Schizosaccharomyces pombe: one gene and its partners. Changing the gene in region 3 together with the main gene of any one other region gives a genetic interaction. Each region holds a gene or a part of one and is shown on either strand. Other genes may lie near its edges.

What was found.
Region 1: of nrd1 (region 3) and sam1, extra expression of one rescues a mutant of the other (dosage rescue), as found in Schizosaccharomyces pombe (one study listed by BioGRID).
Region 2: of nrd1 (region 3) and pas1, changing one enhances a phenotype caused by changing the other (phenotypic enhancement), as found in Schizosaccharomyces pombe (one study listed by BioGRID).

The regions. Positions count from the first base shown.
Region 1 is NC_003423.3:4,161,457-4,165,885, reverse strand, and holds sam1 (S-adenosylmethionine synthetase), read left to right. Parts: upstream 1-2,027; 5' UTR 2,028-2,209; coding exon 2,210-3,358; 3' UTR 3,359-3,817; downstream 3,818-4,429. Other genes in the region: Fe-sulfur ATPase Rli1, read right to left, coding at 1-733, 1,171-1,227. UniProt on the Schizosaccharomyces pombe protein: Catalyzes the formation of S-adenosylmethionine from methionine and ATP. The reaction comprises two steps that are both catalyzed by the same enzyme: formation of S-adenosylmethionine (AdoMet) and triphosphate, and subsequent hydrolysis of the triphosphate.
Region 2 is NC_003424.3:1,359,147-1,364,701, forward strand, and holds pas1 (cyclin Pas1), read left to right. Parts: upstream 1-1,986; 5' UTR 1,987-3,424; coding exon 3,425-4,660; 3' UTR 4,661-5,028; downstream 5,029-5,555.
Region 3 is NC_003424.3:553,348-559,678, forward strand, and holds nrd1 (RNA-binding protein Nrd1), read left to right. Parts: upstream 1-1,938; 5' UTR 1,939-3,283; coding exon 3,284-4,873; 3' UTR 4,874-5,704; downstream 5,705-6,331. Other genes in the region: tryptophan-tRNA ligase Wrs1, read right to left, coding at 5,970-6,331.

The DNA of each region.
Region 1 (4,429 bases), on a different chromosome or scaffold from region 3:
TGCGGATTACACGACCAGCTTTGAGACGTTGTTTAATATCCAAATAAGACGAAGGCTCGTCAAACATGTAAACGTCAGCTTTTTGAGTGGCTACGGCAGCAATAGCAAATCGTTGAAGCTCACCACCAGAAAGATGGCCAACCTCACGATTTAAAAGATTTTGAAGATCGGTGTGATCCATAACTTCTTCAAAATTATTGTTGTTTGCACGAGCTTTAATTAAACCAGATACAGTTTTGTCACCAGTTTTAATCGCCCGTGGGATATGATCAACGTATTGAGGTTTGATAAGAGCCTTAATGTTATCTTCAACAACTTTGGTGAAAAAGTTTTGAAGTTCACTACCACGGAAGTATTTGACAACTTCAGCCCAGTCAGGAGGATTATCATAACGACCTAAATTAGGCTTCATTTTTCCGGATAGGATCTTTAACGCAGTAGACTTTCCAATACCGTTAGTACCAACTAAGCCCAAAACTTGACCAGGACGAGGAGTAGGCAAACGATGAAGCTTGAAAGAATTAGCAGAGTAACGATGGGTTACTTCACTTTCCAAGTTAGTGGGCAAATTAATAATGTTGATAGCTCCGAATGGACATTTTTTGACACAGATACCACAACCAATACATAATGTTTCACTAATAAATGCAATGCGATCGGTAGGATTAACTTCAATACACAATTTACCGGTGCGCACGACAGGGCAAGACCGGCGGCATTCTTGCCGACATTTCTAAAATATTGGTGAGCAAACTAATAAAAACCAAACATTCTAAAACCAGAAGCATTAAAAGCAAAGGAAAGTTTCGTAAGCAAGCAATAAAACGTATTTTAACGTGACACAGACCACTTTGAAAGTTTATTTAAATTTTCGGTCCTTTACCTTACAAGAACCTTTAGATTCGTTTAACCAACATATGGTGACAGCCAAGCCAAGCAAAAATTTACTACTAGTCCGAAAGTGCTTGGCAGATCGTAACAGGATCAAAAAATCTGAACAGAGGTACAATCAGGGCAGTTAAAATATGTTTTAATACTTGAACAAACAAAATTTGACTCAACTCTTTTCGTGGAAAACTTTGTGCACACACAAAAAAGCTCCAGTCATCCACAACGAGTAGACTATAACCTTCTACTAATAAAGCTCCTTTAATTTTTTTATTTTCTTACCTTTGGTCTACACTTATCCTCACTAACAATGGCGATTCTAGTAAGACTTTCGCTCATGGTGTTGAGTAGGGTGCAGTTGGCAAAGGACAACTTAAGGTGCGCCCAATTTTTTGCTTGTACTACCAGTCAACCTACTACAGTTTATAAAAATGCTACATTACATTTCGAATAAAATAAATAAAAAAGATAAATTCAAGTTTCTGAGACTGTAGAAAGATGTATTTTCTTAAATCGTCATTACGAAAATTTTTTATTGCCAATACGGACCTAGCGCTAAGTCATTGCCCATTTAATTGCAGACCAAATAATTGGTCAAAGATATGAAAGTTTGGAAGAGCCAGTTTTTGCAATTAAAAAACATAAGAATGAAGAAAAGAAAAACATCCTTCAATCTGCATAAATACTTATAAGATGCACATTGCATTAGCACACTCAATGCCCAAGTCCAGCCAATATCTAAGGGGACAGCTGGGTTTATTATATATTCAAGCTTCTTTAAATATCTACTAAATTTGCAGTATATAGTTCATCAATCGTAAACATAATTGTAAAAATAAATTGACAGTCAAAGACCCTTCTACTTTTACTTCAAATTGAAAATACAGCGATTTATCAAAATACGAAATACACTTTTTCGTGCTTTCCTTATTTTTTTAATTCATTACAGTCTAGCACTATAAAAAATTTAACATACTATTACCCCTGCTTTTAAATAACAATTGCGCAGAACAATTTGTCTCTACCAGATATCACTATTCTAAAATTGCTCAAGAAATTGAAAAAATGGCGCTACCATCCTGATAAGCAGTCACAACTATAATCAGCATATAAGGCTAAAGAATAACCTTACTTGCTTTACGAAACCTTGAGAGCTTCTTTTGACGAAATTCGCAAGCATATCTACATTTATTAGATTCATTGATAAAGAAGGGTTTTCATTGTTTCCTTATATTTGACGAAACTAATCGCTTGTCTTATTGTTCAATCTTTTCTAGTTTTTTGATTCCATATTTCCTTTACAAGTATCTTGGATTCCCCAATGGCTCAAACTTTTTTGTTTACTTCTGAATCTGTCGGTGAAGGTCATCCTGACAAAATTTGCGACCAAATATCTGACGCTATTTTGGATGCTTGTTTGAAGGATGACCCCTTTTCCAAGGTAGCATGTGAGACCGCTTCCAAAACCGGTATGGTAATGGTTTTTGGTGAAATTACTACTCGCTCACAAATTGACTACCAAAAGGTTATTCGTAATACCATTAAGAGCATCGGTTATGATGACTCTGAGAAGGGTTTCGATTACAAGACTTGCAACGTCCTCGTCGCCATCGAGCAACAATCTCCTGATATCGCTCAAGGTCTTCACTATGAGAAGGCTTTGGAAGAGCTCGGTGCTGGTGACCAGGGTATTATGTTTGGCTATGCAACTGATGAGACCCCCGAGAAGTTACCTTTGACCATTCTCCTTGCTCACAAACTCAATGCTGCCATGTCTGTCGCTCGTCGTGATGGATCTCTTCCATGGTTGCGTCCTGATACCAAGACTCAAGTCACTATTGAATATGAAGAGGAAAACGGTGCTGTCATCCCCCGTCGTGTAGATACCATCGTCGTCTCTGCTCAACACGCTGATAGCATCTCTACTGAAGACTTGCGTTCTGAAATTTTGGAGAAGATCATTAAGCCTACTGTCCCTGCTCATTTGTTAGATGAGAAGACTGTTTACCACATCCAACCTTCTGGTCGTTTCGTTGTTGGTGGTCCTCAAGGTGATGCTGGTCTCACTGGTCGTAAGATTATTGTTGATACCTATGGTGGCTGGGGTGCTCACGGTGGTGGTGCCTTCTCTGGTAAAGACTACTCCAAGGTCGATCGTTCTGCCGCCTATGCTGCTCGTTGGATTGCCAAATCTTTGGTTGCTGCTGGTTTGGCTCGCCGCTGCCTTGTCCAACTCTCCTATGCTATTGGTGTTGCTGAGCCCCTTTCTATTTTTGTCAATACTTACGGCACTTCTTCCAAGACATCTGCTGAGCTTGTTGAAATTATCCGCAAGAACTTTGACCTTCGTCCTGGTGTTTTGGTCAAAAGCCTTAAGCTTCAAACTCCTTTCTATCTTTCCACCGCTTCTTACGGTCACTTCACTGATCAATCCAAGCCTTGGGAACAACCTAAGGAGCTTAAGTTTTAGACAGATAGCTTAGTGCTATCATTAGCTTTTCTCGTTTGTTACGTTAAATACGATTAGAACATGTAACGAATTCTCAGTTGATGGCTTTATGGATACATGGTTTTCTTTAAAGATGAAAAGATTTTAGAGTTGTCTTTATTTATTCTATGTTTGCTTCTTTGTTCTTCAATTGTGAAAGATATATGGTTTTATATGTTAAGTCCTGGTTCAACGGATATGTATTTTTTTTTGGACTGGGTAGGCACAAATTCAACCTTTGTGTTTATGACTGCATCTCGAAGCGGAAAATACACTAAGCCAAAAATTTTTTTGCATACCGACATGTTAATGTTTCTTTTACCGATAGGCTTAGTGTTATTTGATGCTTTTCACGATAGTTATTATTTGCTGACTTTCAACTAGTTGGCCACTTTCGTTTAAATTGAGTTAATTATATGTTAATGGATTTGGTTCAAGACATAGTGTTTTAATCGTATAAGAACGAGTACTCATCTTCACTGTAGCTAATTTAGCTCGCTCACTTGTAACAAGGTGCATGCACACACAATACAAGCGTTTTGATTTTATTGTAATTTGTAATGAATTGAAAATGTCAAACTTAAAAAGGTAGACAATCATTCAGCTTTCAAGATGATCTGTGATAGTAAATGTCATTGGATTAAAACACATTGCTTGCTTACATTATTGTATTTATGGAATAAGCGATGGATTCTCAGCGATCCTAAAAGTACTTAGAATTATATTGGTCTTTTTTTTTGTAGTATAAATATTCAAAAATTCTTCACTAGATGTCTACGGCCATACCTAGGCGAAAACACCAGTTCCCGTCCGATCACTGCAGTTAAGCGTCTGAGGGCCTCGTTAGTACTATGGTTGGAGACAACATGGGAATCCGGGGTTTTGTAGGTTCCTTCTTTATTATTGCTGTTTGGTTTTTACCTTCTCTTTTGGAGCATATTTTGAGTACTGAATTGTGAATCTCAAATTCTATAGATGTTGCTACTCGTTGATTAAGCAATGCTAGAGCAGACTTTGAACTCTCAAATCAAATAATTAAGAAGTTTATGAAAG
Region 2 (5,555 bases), 810 kb from region 3:
CGCTCGCTGATAACTTGTAAAAAATAATCAAAATAAGAGTAAATAAAAATGATAAAATAAAAAACAACGATAACAAGGGACGAGTGGGTGAAAGGAAATTTTATGTTTGCGTTTTCGTTGAACCAGCGCAGTACAGAAATACAGAAAGAATTGGGAAGTACAATAACAGCTGGGATGTGGGATGTGGGATTTAATGGTAGGCAGGATAGGGTAAGCAATGCTGGGACAAAGAGAAAGAGGTGAGGGGGGTGAAAAAGTTTTGTGAAAGAAAGGATTGTTTATGCTACGGTTGGAGAAGAGAGGCGAGGGGAAGTGAGGATGGCTTGGATGTAGTAAGGATAATAGGAAATTAGAAATAAAAAAAAAAAAAAATTTGGATATGATACATAAATGGTAAAAAATAAATAATAAATTAATAATCATAAATTAAAGAAAGAAAAAAAAAAGTAAAGAAAGCAACGGTGAAAGTAGTTGAGGAAACTCAAAGAAAACAAAATAAACCATAAGAAGAGGAAAAGTGTTCAATCGTAATAAGAAAAAAAGAAATCAAAATATATTTAATGAAATTATAATAGCAATAAAATAAAGATTATACTAAATTCATGAATGATAATAAATAATAAACAGAAAAATTTAAAGGGCAAAAAAGTAAATTATAAAAATTAAATTAATTATAAGGTAAAATAATTTAAAAATTTTAAAGTACAATAATAAAAATTCGAAATATTTGTTTATTCAATAAACTAATGGAGAGATTTTCCATATTCAAAGTTTTGTTTCATTACTAATTTATAAAATGATACTTTTACTTTTGATTTATTTTATAAATTTTATTTTTTGCTTTTGATTTAATGTATTAATTTTATTTTACTTTTATTTTTTCACTCTTCAAATTCTTAACCATTCGCGTCTTTTCATCGCATCGCCCATCATATTTCCTGCCCAACAACTGTATTCATCAATAATATCGCTACTTTCATCCTACATCTTTGCCTTCGCAAGTTGCGCAAGCTTGCTCGCCATTTCGAGTGCTGATGGAATCAGCGATATCGATGGAGTTAGCGATGCCATCACAGAAATTGCAATTTTACACATCACAAAGTAAAACAATTAGCAATTCTTTCAAAATATCCATCCACTCCGCTTAAAGAAATCATTTCATCTTCATACCACCCCATTATCCCACCTTCTCTGATGGATAGTGGAATCCGCCTTGAATGTCTCTCTCTCTTACTATTACTTGCTTGGCATCTGAGCTGAGCCAATCCAATGTCGCTTAAAGCAGCCCAAAACTTGGGTAACATAGCGAAGAAACGCAAAGAAAAAAAAATTTCTTATGAGGAATCAGAATCTATCGGAGCCATGAATCATGGACACCACTTTCATATTTTTGGAACAAAGCAAGAAAACCTCTAGAATAGATTGGAAGCAAATTGATCCAACTACCACATGTCCTTCATATCCCCCCCCAAACATCATTCATCTATCCCTATGAGCCTCCTTCCTCAAATCCTTTTCCGCATTGCCTTCCCCTTCGCTATACCTAGACATTACAGAATTTATCCATCCCAATCTTCCGCCCCCTCCCAATTTTCAACTGCTAAACCTTGCTCTGATCCAATTTTTCCATTGTTGAGGCCTTTCTGGATGCAGCTTTCCAAACCTTTCAACGTCCCGGCTTGACTTAACTTCCACGTCTTATCATTCACAAAATCGGCAGTCCAAGACGCCAACTTTACCGACGCGTTTTACCCCATTGAAATTATGGATGTTTGCTTTACGCAGTGGTGTGAAATCACGGTGGACTAACGTTTGATGTGCAAAGGATCTCGTTGTTGCAGATAGTGTTACCTGCCACTCTCGGTAACAAATGTGGTTGACAAGCCGCGACTGATGTTTATCTCATATAATCATAGATCTGCCACAATCACCTTTTTTTTCCATTCTTTGCATATATAACATCAGTCATCTCTCCTAAGAAGAGCCGGTCGTCCCTCTGCTAAGCAACCATACAAAACATAACGTTCATCCTTTCTTTTTTGTTACATTCGTCTTCCTTTCTTCAGCCTAGATAGAATTGGTTTGGTGTTTGTGCTATTCTCAATTTTCCTCGTTTTGGATTGTGTTTTTCTTGTTTTGTTTGGGAATCATCATTCATCCATTAACATCTTCTTTACTTTTTTTTTTCATCGTTCATCGAATCCTACTTCCTCTTGACACATAATTAGTCTGCTGGTTTCTTTCTTCCTTCCTTTAAACATTTTGTGAAGAATCTCGTAACCTACCATTCGGTGCTGCTGTATTATAAATCTAATCTATTTGATTCGCTACGGATCTTTCTCACCTTAGACCTTTACTACCTGAAGGGTTCTTTTCTTCTTCTTTAATTCTTTGTCACGATATATTATAACTTTTCATTTTCTTTTTATTTTATTTTATTCTATTTGCTTGTCTGGGTTTAGGTGCTTTGTGTTCTCTTTCTTCTATTCTTTTTTTCATTGTTCCAACTACTCTGCTGACTGCAATATCACGCCTCTTTGAATTCTCGGGAAAAGGCTTATCTACTTTTCCTTTGTTTCATTCGTCTGCTGTCGCCCTGTAGCTTTAACGTTTTCTAACTCCGTCGCTGGTTTCGTCGATTAACTTTGGGTTTCGCATACGGTTTCGTGTAATTTCAAACATTTATTTATTATTTATTTATCTATCTGTCGGTCTGTTTTCTTTGCTTATTTTCCGCATTCATCTTAGCTTATATTTCAATCGTTGAATCCCATCCCTTGCTTCATTCGTTTTTCTCTTCTGCCAACAAATTCTTCTAGAGATTGCATCTTTTATCGTCGTTAAGGAGATTGGTTAAGTAGTTTCCCTCTCATTTTTTCAATCTCTCCTTTCTAGCTTATTTTGGGTTTTTACACAGTTCAAGTTTTCCTTTTATCTGCCTGGTCCCCAAAATCTCGGTTTTGCTTTATTTTCTTTCTTCAAATTCGACTTTGTGCGCTTGAAGATTCGATTTCAAGCAATCATTATTATTTCTTACACTCTTTCTTTGGATGACTATTTTCGCCAACACATCTATCTCTTCATTTTTGCAACTTTTTAGGCTTACTAAGCTTCTTTTTCTTGTATAATAATATTAACTGATTTTGGGTACGTGTCTTCAACATGGCATACCTTTAGAGATTTCTGTTTTTTTCCAGTTAGGAGCACTGTTTAGTCAATCTACTCGTTCTCCTCATTGTGTTCGTCTTCCAATTTTTGTCATCCATTTTTACTTTTCTACTAAATTTTCGTCGAAAGCTTTCATTGTTAGCTTTTTTCCCTTTCATAAACTCGTATTTTCTTCTCTTTGAGAAAAAGCTTGCTAAAAGTTTTCATTTTTCTCCAACAGCTGCTTAAAATTTCATCTTAGATATTTCTCTACACGATGTCGAAAGTTAACATGCGAGCTTTGCTCGAGTCCTTTAGTACCGTGATTCTTTCTATCTACCCCTTGGCTAAAAGTACAAATCAACAATCACATTCGCACTCCCTTTCACTTACTCAGTTTTTGTATGAAACGATTCGCAGAAGTCGTGTCGATTACACTACGTTGCTTCTTGCTTTATATTACTTCATCCGTTTTCGTGATGCTGCTTCTTCTAAGCCTACTAACTACATTCCTCTGTTATGTGGGCGTCGTCTTTTCTTAGTCTGCTTGATGGCCGCTACAAAATTTTTACAGGATCGTAGTTTTAGCAATCGTGCTTGGTCTCGCCTATCAGGACTTCCAGTTGACAAATTACTTGTTTTGGAATATATGTTTTACCAATGCATCGATTATCGTCTTGTCGTTCCTAAACATATTTTTGCTAGATGGTCTCTTTTAGTTGGTGAATGTTGTGCTCACGCGACTGCACGTTATGATTCCACCGATCCTAATGTTGCCTCATTTGGCAGCGTCGCACAATATTGGGTCTCTTTGTTTTCTAATGTTCAATCTTCTCTAGATGATCTTTTTTCCATTGCCTGTTTAACGAAGATAGCACATCGCAGAATGAATGCTAATGCTGCTTTGAAGAATCAGGCTACGAGGAAGCCCTCCTCTTCTCCTCAAACAACTCAAGACTCATCACCTATTCTTACGATGGCACCTTCTACTCCAGTATCTGTTGGCAGTACCCCTCCATCCACTCCATCTGTTTTACCCATTGCCAAACAACTGGCTCCTATGAATGTCTGTAAAGCACATATTCAGGCTTCAAATCAGTCCCGCACTTTGACTACTGCTTCGCCACCCGAACAAATACCGCTTATGGAACCGCAAGTTTATGTAAATCCTCAAGTATTACCGGGTCGGTTGTCAAGCCTTTCTAAGCCAGTTAGTCTACCACCAACTCCTTCTTCACCAAAGGTTGGAGTATATCGGCCAATGACTTCTAAGTCCAATGGAGGTGTTGCTTACTGCTATAATGCTCAAAAATTGAACAATGCTACTGGTCCAGTTACATTTAATATGCCTTTTGCAAGCGTCTTACCACTTGCCGTATCTGTGAGTTGTGATCTGGGTACAGCGTCTGCATATGTCGCGTCCCTCCCTCAACCTTGTTCTCAAAAAAGGCATTTAGAAGAAGACTACTCATGTTTAACGGAACACAGTGCTAAGCGTCGCAGTTACTTTTAATTATCAAGCCCAATCTGCGCTGTCTTCGCCGCTTCTTTCAAAAACTATAATATTTAATGAATAATTTCATAATACTGATGCCATTTTAACAGCGGATGTCAATAAATACCGATAATGTTTTCTTTCTATTGATTTATCTATTCAAATTGTGTGGAAGATAATCATGATATGGGAAACTTGATTAGGTTTATATTACTACCTTCTTTTCATATCTAGACTTGTCAATGTTTTGATTAAAAATCAAATATTGTTGTCGTTTCTATGAATCTTTTTTTAACATTCTAATAGCAAAACGATGTATATATGGTATGAATGAATTAACGATTGGCAACTATATTTACTTATGCATCTTGTAAATTGATATCAGTAGAGCAAGGTATTCAAAAAAGATAATTTTGTTGATTTCTTATGGCCATAAACTTGTCAAATAGTCAAACTATTTAGAGATTATGTATGTGCTCATTAAGATAGTTATATATTTTAGGCAGGTGAATGTAGCCATTTGAAATCTACTACTGAGCTCCAATCCTATTTGAAGGCTCTAAGAGTCCTTTCAATCATTTTTTAACAGAGTTGTCTAAGTAATATTTTTTCAACGATTAAACTGTGAAACATTGAACTAAAATATCTTGATCATTTACAAAAGCAGTAATTGCTACACCGTACTACTAGTAGAGCCAATTTTGATTACGGTCTTTAAAACAATGTTGAATACACTAATTGTAAGCGATTTTTGTAAAAACTAATAATTATACGTATCTTCTTGAACATCACGAAAATTAACTGATATTTCCCTAAAGTACAGTTGCAAGTAGGAAGGATTAAGACAAAACAACAAATTATATACTAAAAATTTTACAAATGTTAAAATCAATTTCACATATATATTTTGTTG
Region 3 (6,331 bases):
TATATATGGCTAGATCATAATTTTTGCAGAAAATTGGGCTTTAGGATTGTTTAATCCAACAAAAAATATCAATCTTTTATAGCGGCTCAAGTGTTCTTGTTATCTTTATGAGATACGCTTTTGTTATTTAGAAACGTGTATAGGTCTCTAGTTTTTCTTTTCTTTTCTAGTGTAAGAAATGGGTAATGGAGGATTCACGAATACATTACAATAAGACTATATTAGTAAAATAGAATACAGTTAAGTGGAAAAGATTACAGAAGAAACCAAGTCATTAGTAGTTCGTTGAAGATATCGCAATGTAGTTTGAAACCTAATATCTGCTTCTTTACGTGTTCTAATTACTTTAATATTAATTAATAAAACAAATTGTATTGCTTTTTTTTATGAATAAGGACAATTAGTGCTAAACATTAAGTATACAACCAAAATTTTTACGTAAACTGACAAAATTTACAAACAATTTAAGTAGAGTGTTATGAACGAGCATATGCCTTTTTTCTACTTTATGGCATTTGTTTCTCTGCTAACCCGAGTTTCTAAAAAAAAAAACGAAAGCCGATGATCACGGTGAATCAAATGACTAAACGCCTTGGCCGGTAAATATGTAAATCTCCGTAGCAACCTTTACGCCTTGACAATCGTTAGTTTGCAGAGTTGAAGAAAAGTCGATATGTTTAGGTCAATAGCTACCGAGTCTACTTTTCTACGCTACAGCGGCATTGAAGTTAGCAGAAGACTCAATTTTGCAGGAGACTATTTAGCTATCTGATCAGTCAGTGTAATAATTAGAGAGCGCTTTCGCTCACCCTTCTTGGCGGCCACCATAAAGCGACTCACAGCGAAATTGTGTATAGAGATTAAGCAACAGCGGAATATTTTGATAAATACAAATTAGATAGTCAATGAATTACTAAGCTGAATAGAATGAAAAAGAAAGAAAAATCCAAAGTGAAAATTGACAGTTACTGAGCTTGTCTACGCCCCCTAAATTTCACGCGGAAAATATTCCTCTACCGTGCAAGGCGGAGACTTTTGAACAATGTGTTAGCTTAGGATTTAAGTCACATCTTAGCAAAGCGTTCAGGGAAGAAGACATACGGTCAAAGTTATCATTTTTGTGTGATTTTCATTATTTATTGTTGCACGAGATAATTTAAATTTTCATGCAGAAGATTTATTTTTTTTTTTGGAATTTATTCTGCTCGGCCAACATTCTTGATTATTCTTGTTTACATTTTTTTATGAGCGGCTTATCGTTAGATATCACTTGTCACTTGGCACTACATGCTTTTTTCTATGAATTATTCCTTTGATATCGACTAATCATCTGAAATAGCGAGGCGAGATTTCGACAGAAGCTTTACCCCCATAAAAATTTTCGTTGTGTTTATACAAAGTGGAAGATGATTACATGTCTGCATTTGTATCAAGTTAGTCTAACTATTTGCTTGAGTCCCACGCTGCTTAGCACACAATCACATACGTACGTGGGCGAAATTGTGTGAAACTCTCGGGGAGCCACTTCGGCTGCTTATTTATTTACTTTTATTTACAACGCGGCGTTGATGGAAAAATTCTAAAACAGTGTGTGAAAACTTGGTTTGCGCGTGCTTGTTAGTGGGCCATTCTAATATATGTCTATACTGGCATATATTTACTTTATTTTACCACTATTACTATTTAACTCATTGCCGCAATCCATACAAGTGCATTCTTTTTTGTTTGTTTTCGTTGCCATGCTCGTTGTCAAGTGTTTACATTCGATTGTGCACTCGCGCTCTGTCGTTGAAGGAACATCCAGAATTAATGTTACCTTGGGCGGCATATTCACATGTTGGTGTACGCTGGATAATCGTTAATGGCATGTAGCTTGTTTCTCTCTATAAGCACGCAGTAATATTAGTGCAGTAACGAAAAGCCGTTAACGTGCTCACTACCAAATACTCAACCACACGAATAGCCGCTGGCTATATCTAATATTCTTTCTCTTTTCATTTCTTTTTTCTCAAAAACATATTTCTTTCTCTACCATTTGCATTTATATGAGTGTATTACTTTGAAGCTTTGATTTTTTTTGTTTCGCGGTATACTTATTGATTATTCGCTAATACTGGTACTTGTTTCTCTTATTTTTTTTCTGTTTCTCCTTTATTTGCTTTTTAAGCAACCTTTTAAATCTACCTGTGAAATAAATATCATCGCCTTTTTTCATTTTCTTTTTTCATTTCCACATTCTTTTCTCTTCTTACTCCTCTGTGATACTATATTTTGGGTCGTTAGAACGCATTGACTTCAATCTACTTTCTCTTCCCTGCATTTTTACCAAGCCTTCCGAATATATTTATTCCAGTTTTTCTATATTCTTTTTTTTTATTTTTTTTACTTCCATTGTACTCCTCATAATCATTATTATCTTGGAAATTTAACTTTCCCTTTTCATTTTTTTCTTCTCTAAAACTCCTTCTTTCACTGTCGACCATACTGTTGACTTTTCTCCTCTTCTTTTATAAGATAAAATACACTTCTACGCGTCTTTAGAATTCTTTGATTGATTATTCTTTCGTACTACTTTGAATTGTATACTTTGCTTTTTTGGTCATACTCTTGTTCATTTCACTTTGTTTTATTCTCCATCAATTTCTTGGAGTAAGTCTAATACTCTTGTTCGGTATCTTTACTTAGTAAGCTTAATTTTTTAAAAAATTAAAAAAAAAAAAATTTTTACCATTGTTAGGCTCATATTCCTTTCCACATCATTCAAGATTTTGTTGAGGTTGTTGTGATCTGCTTGTTTCATTCGCATTTTTTCCTTCCATTTATTCGCTTTGCCTACGTGCCTCTCAGTCTAAGTTTCCTTATTCAGTTTGGGAATTACGAGTTTTCTTATTTTTAGAATTAAAAAATACGTTGGACGTTGACAGTTTTCTTTTGGCTAAGATTTTCCGTTGCTATTAATTATTGTCTTTCTCGTCTAATTGAGTTTTTTAAACAGACTTGTTGTTAGCTTTAAGCGATATTGTTTAACTATTCATTTATTACCCGCTTGGATTTTTATCGTTAAACGCATCATAAGTTGCCTCCTAAGTTCGTGAGCTTTATTGGTCCGATTTTGGTTTTCGATATATTTCAAAGTGATATAAATTGTAAGATATACCCCTTTATTATTTGTTACCAAACGTCACTCTCGTTGATTTCTTTATTTTACATTTCTTCCTTTGTCAATCAAGCAGCTGTGCTCTTAGTATAATTCTTTCTTTAACAGTTATTGATTTCGGTCATTATGTCTTCTAGCAGTCCCTCTAGTCAGTCCCGTCTTTCTGTCCCTGGAAGAACTCCACATTTACCACCACTTACTATCCCTCATACTGTAAGTGCTGAAGGTCTCGCTACACCAAACACACCGCATGCTCTACTCCCTACCGGGCTTCTTATGGGGAGTCCTTTTGTTCAAAGCCCAACGAGCTATACTTCCATGCATGGCTTGCCCTTTAGCACTACCCAAATGGCAGCGGCTCCCGCTCATCCCACGACTGGCTATAATGTTTCACGTGTTACCAGTCCTAATGTTGCTAACTTTGCCCCGGGTTACTTTCCACTTCCGAATAACACTACACAACCTGTTAAAACTGTGTATGTTGGTAACCTTCCTCCCAATACCCCTATTGATGAGATTCTTTCTTGCGTGCGTACGGGACCAATTGAATCTGCATGGATTCTACCTGAGAAAAATTGTGCCTTTATTTCCTTTTTGGATCCGAGCCACGCTACTGCCTTTTTCCAAGATGCTGCCTTGAAGAGATTGACAATTCGGGGTACTGAAGTAAAAGTTGGTTGGGGCAAGAACTCAGCCTCGAATTCATCTGTACTACTTGCAGTCCAGCAATCTGGCGCTTGTAGGAATGTATTCCTCGGCAACTTGCCGAATGGTATTACTGAAGATGAAATTCGTGAAGATTTAGAACCATTTGGACCTATTGATCAAATCAAAATCGTAACTGAACGAAATATAGCTTTTGTTCATTTTTTGAACATTGCAGCTGCAATCAAAGCTGTCCAAGAGCTACCATTAAACCCCAAATGGTCCAAACGGCGCATTTACTACGGACGGGATAGATGCGCTGTGGGTTTGAAGCAACCTGCTTACTTTTCTAAAGGCCAAGTCGGCGTTGTTGGCGGTTATCCCGTAATGGGGTATCCTCCCCCAAGCCCGGTTCTCCAAAAACCGGATCTTATCATGACTGGGAATCGCACTGTTTACATTGGTAATATCCATGCTGATACTACTATTGAAGAGATATGTAACGCTGTTCGTGGAGGATTGTTACACAATATTCGTTATCTTCAGGAAAAACACATTTGTTTCGTAACTTTTGTTGACCCTGTTTCTGCTTTTCGATTCTTTGAAATGTCCAACATTCATGGTTTGGTCATTCGCAACCGTCGTTTAAAGATAGGTTGGGGTAAGCATAGCGGCCCTCTTCCCTCAAATATCGCTTTAGCCGTTGCTGGTGGTGCTAGTCGTAACATTTATATTGGCAATGCTGATGATTCTTTGACTATTGAACGCTTAAAAGAGGATTTTGAGGAATTTGGCGAAATTGAGTACGTCAACTTTTTCCGCGAAAAGAATTGCGCTTTTGTTAACTTTACGTCGTTGGCAAGTGCGATTAATGCGATTGATCGAATCAAGCAGAAGAAGGGATATGAAAACTATCGAATTAGTTATGGTAAAGATAGGTGTGGTAATCCACCTAGAACTAATTCCAAGTCAGACGTTCTTTCTGTCTCTTCTGATATGAGCATGCCTGTTGATCTCGTTGTTCCTCAGCAAGGAATATCCGGGTTTATGCCAACAAACTCCAATATTTAAATATTGTAGAGTGTTTTGCTCTTAAACGTGTTCGATATTTTTATGGATAAAGGTTTTCCAGCGCTTTGAGTTCATATCAATTTGTGCTCATAAAACACCTTTTATTGACGAACTTTTTTATTGCTTATTTTACAAAATCACTTTCTTTTTTACATTAGATTATTAAGGGTAACCATTTGCATTCGCATTACAAAAGAAAAAGTATTCTTTTGTTTAAATGACCTTACTTGCTATTGTTTCAACATTCCTTCGTTTTACTTTCTCTCGTTTATGCCCCTTACTCAACGTGGCCCATACTCTTTTCTTCTTACTTTGTTTCATTTTTACGCATTATAAAACCTTCATTGTTGAAGTAGCAGTTTTTTTTTGTTTTATTTGGCATTTTTTCTACTATGTTAGAGGTTATCGAGTTTGTATTTCTATCAAAAGCTCGATGTCCTTCGTTTTTGATTCGTTTTTGCAAACAATATTGACGAATCTTTCCACATTTTCAATTACAGTTTTAAAATGTACTTCTGACTTCTATTTTTATTTTTTTTTTCATTCTACATATTCTTATATATTTATGTTTCGATTTTCAACGTTATTTCTTTATCAAAAGTGATTGCTGAAGACTTCAACGGTGTTGATTAATACTTAACAATAGCTTTAATTTGATTGTCTGGTCATATTTAAATGCTAGTTTGTTAATTATGGTTTATTTGTCGCGTTCTAAATGCGTTTTTCAACCCATTATTGTCTACTAGTTCCAAACCGAAATTGTTCTAATGATCTTATGTATATATTTTTGGTCTAGGTAAATATACATCTCTTCTTTTGCTCATCCTACACCGTCGTTGAGAGATTGTACAAAGTTCGGTAATTAATGAATGCAAACATAACAAAACTCTACCGTAGTAATGAGTTTTGAAAAGGCATCAGTATTTGAGTCTCTATTTATATTGTGCGTTTGGTGCTGTAAATGTTTTCCTCATTTATTAGAACAGCTGAACATTGTAGCACAATCTAAAAACAGTTTATTCAGTTTCATTGTATAATGCAACTTAAACAAGTATCTAATTTACACTATTTGTAAAATGAAAGAAAGACAACGCATCTACCACTCTAACTTACGAGATCCATCCATAAACATATCAAGGGTCGCCTCATCAACTTTCGAACGTGCTGCTTGAAAGTCAGAAACGAACTGCTGTAAAAGCTTAATACACTCTCCTTTCATTTCTCCGGTTGAAAGAGTACCAGCCTTATAGGTATTGTACAATTGTTTCAACTTCTCGTCGTCATCTAGGAAAAAAGAAAGATATTGATATGCAACATCAACGTCTGGGTTACCTCCTTTTTCACGGTGGATTTCGATTGTAGCGCCACCTCCAGAGAAAGCATGCCTGTTGATCTTATTTTTAATTTTGTTTGGAGTATCAGTCATGAAAATCGCAGAAGAATCTTTACTGGCACTCA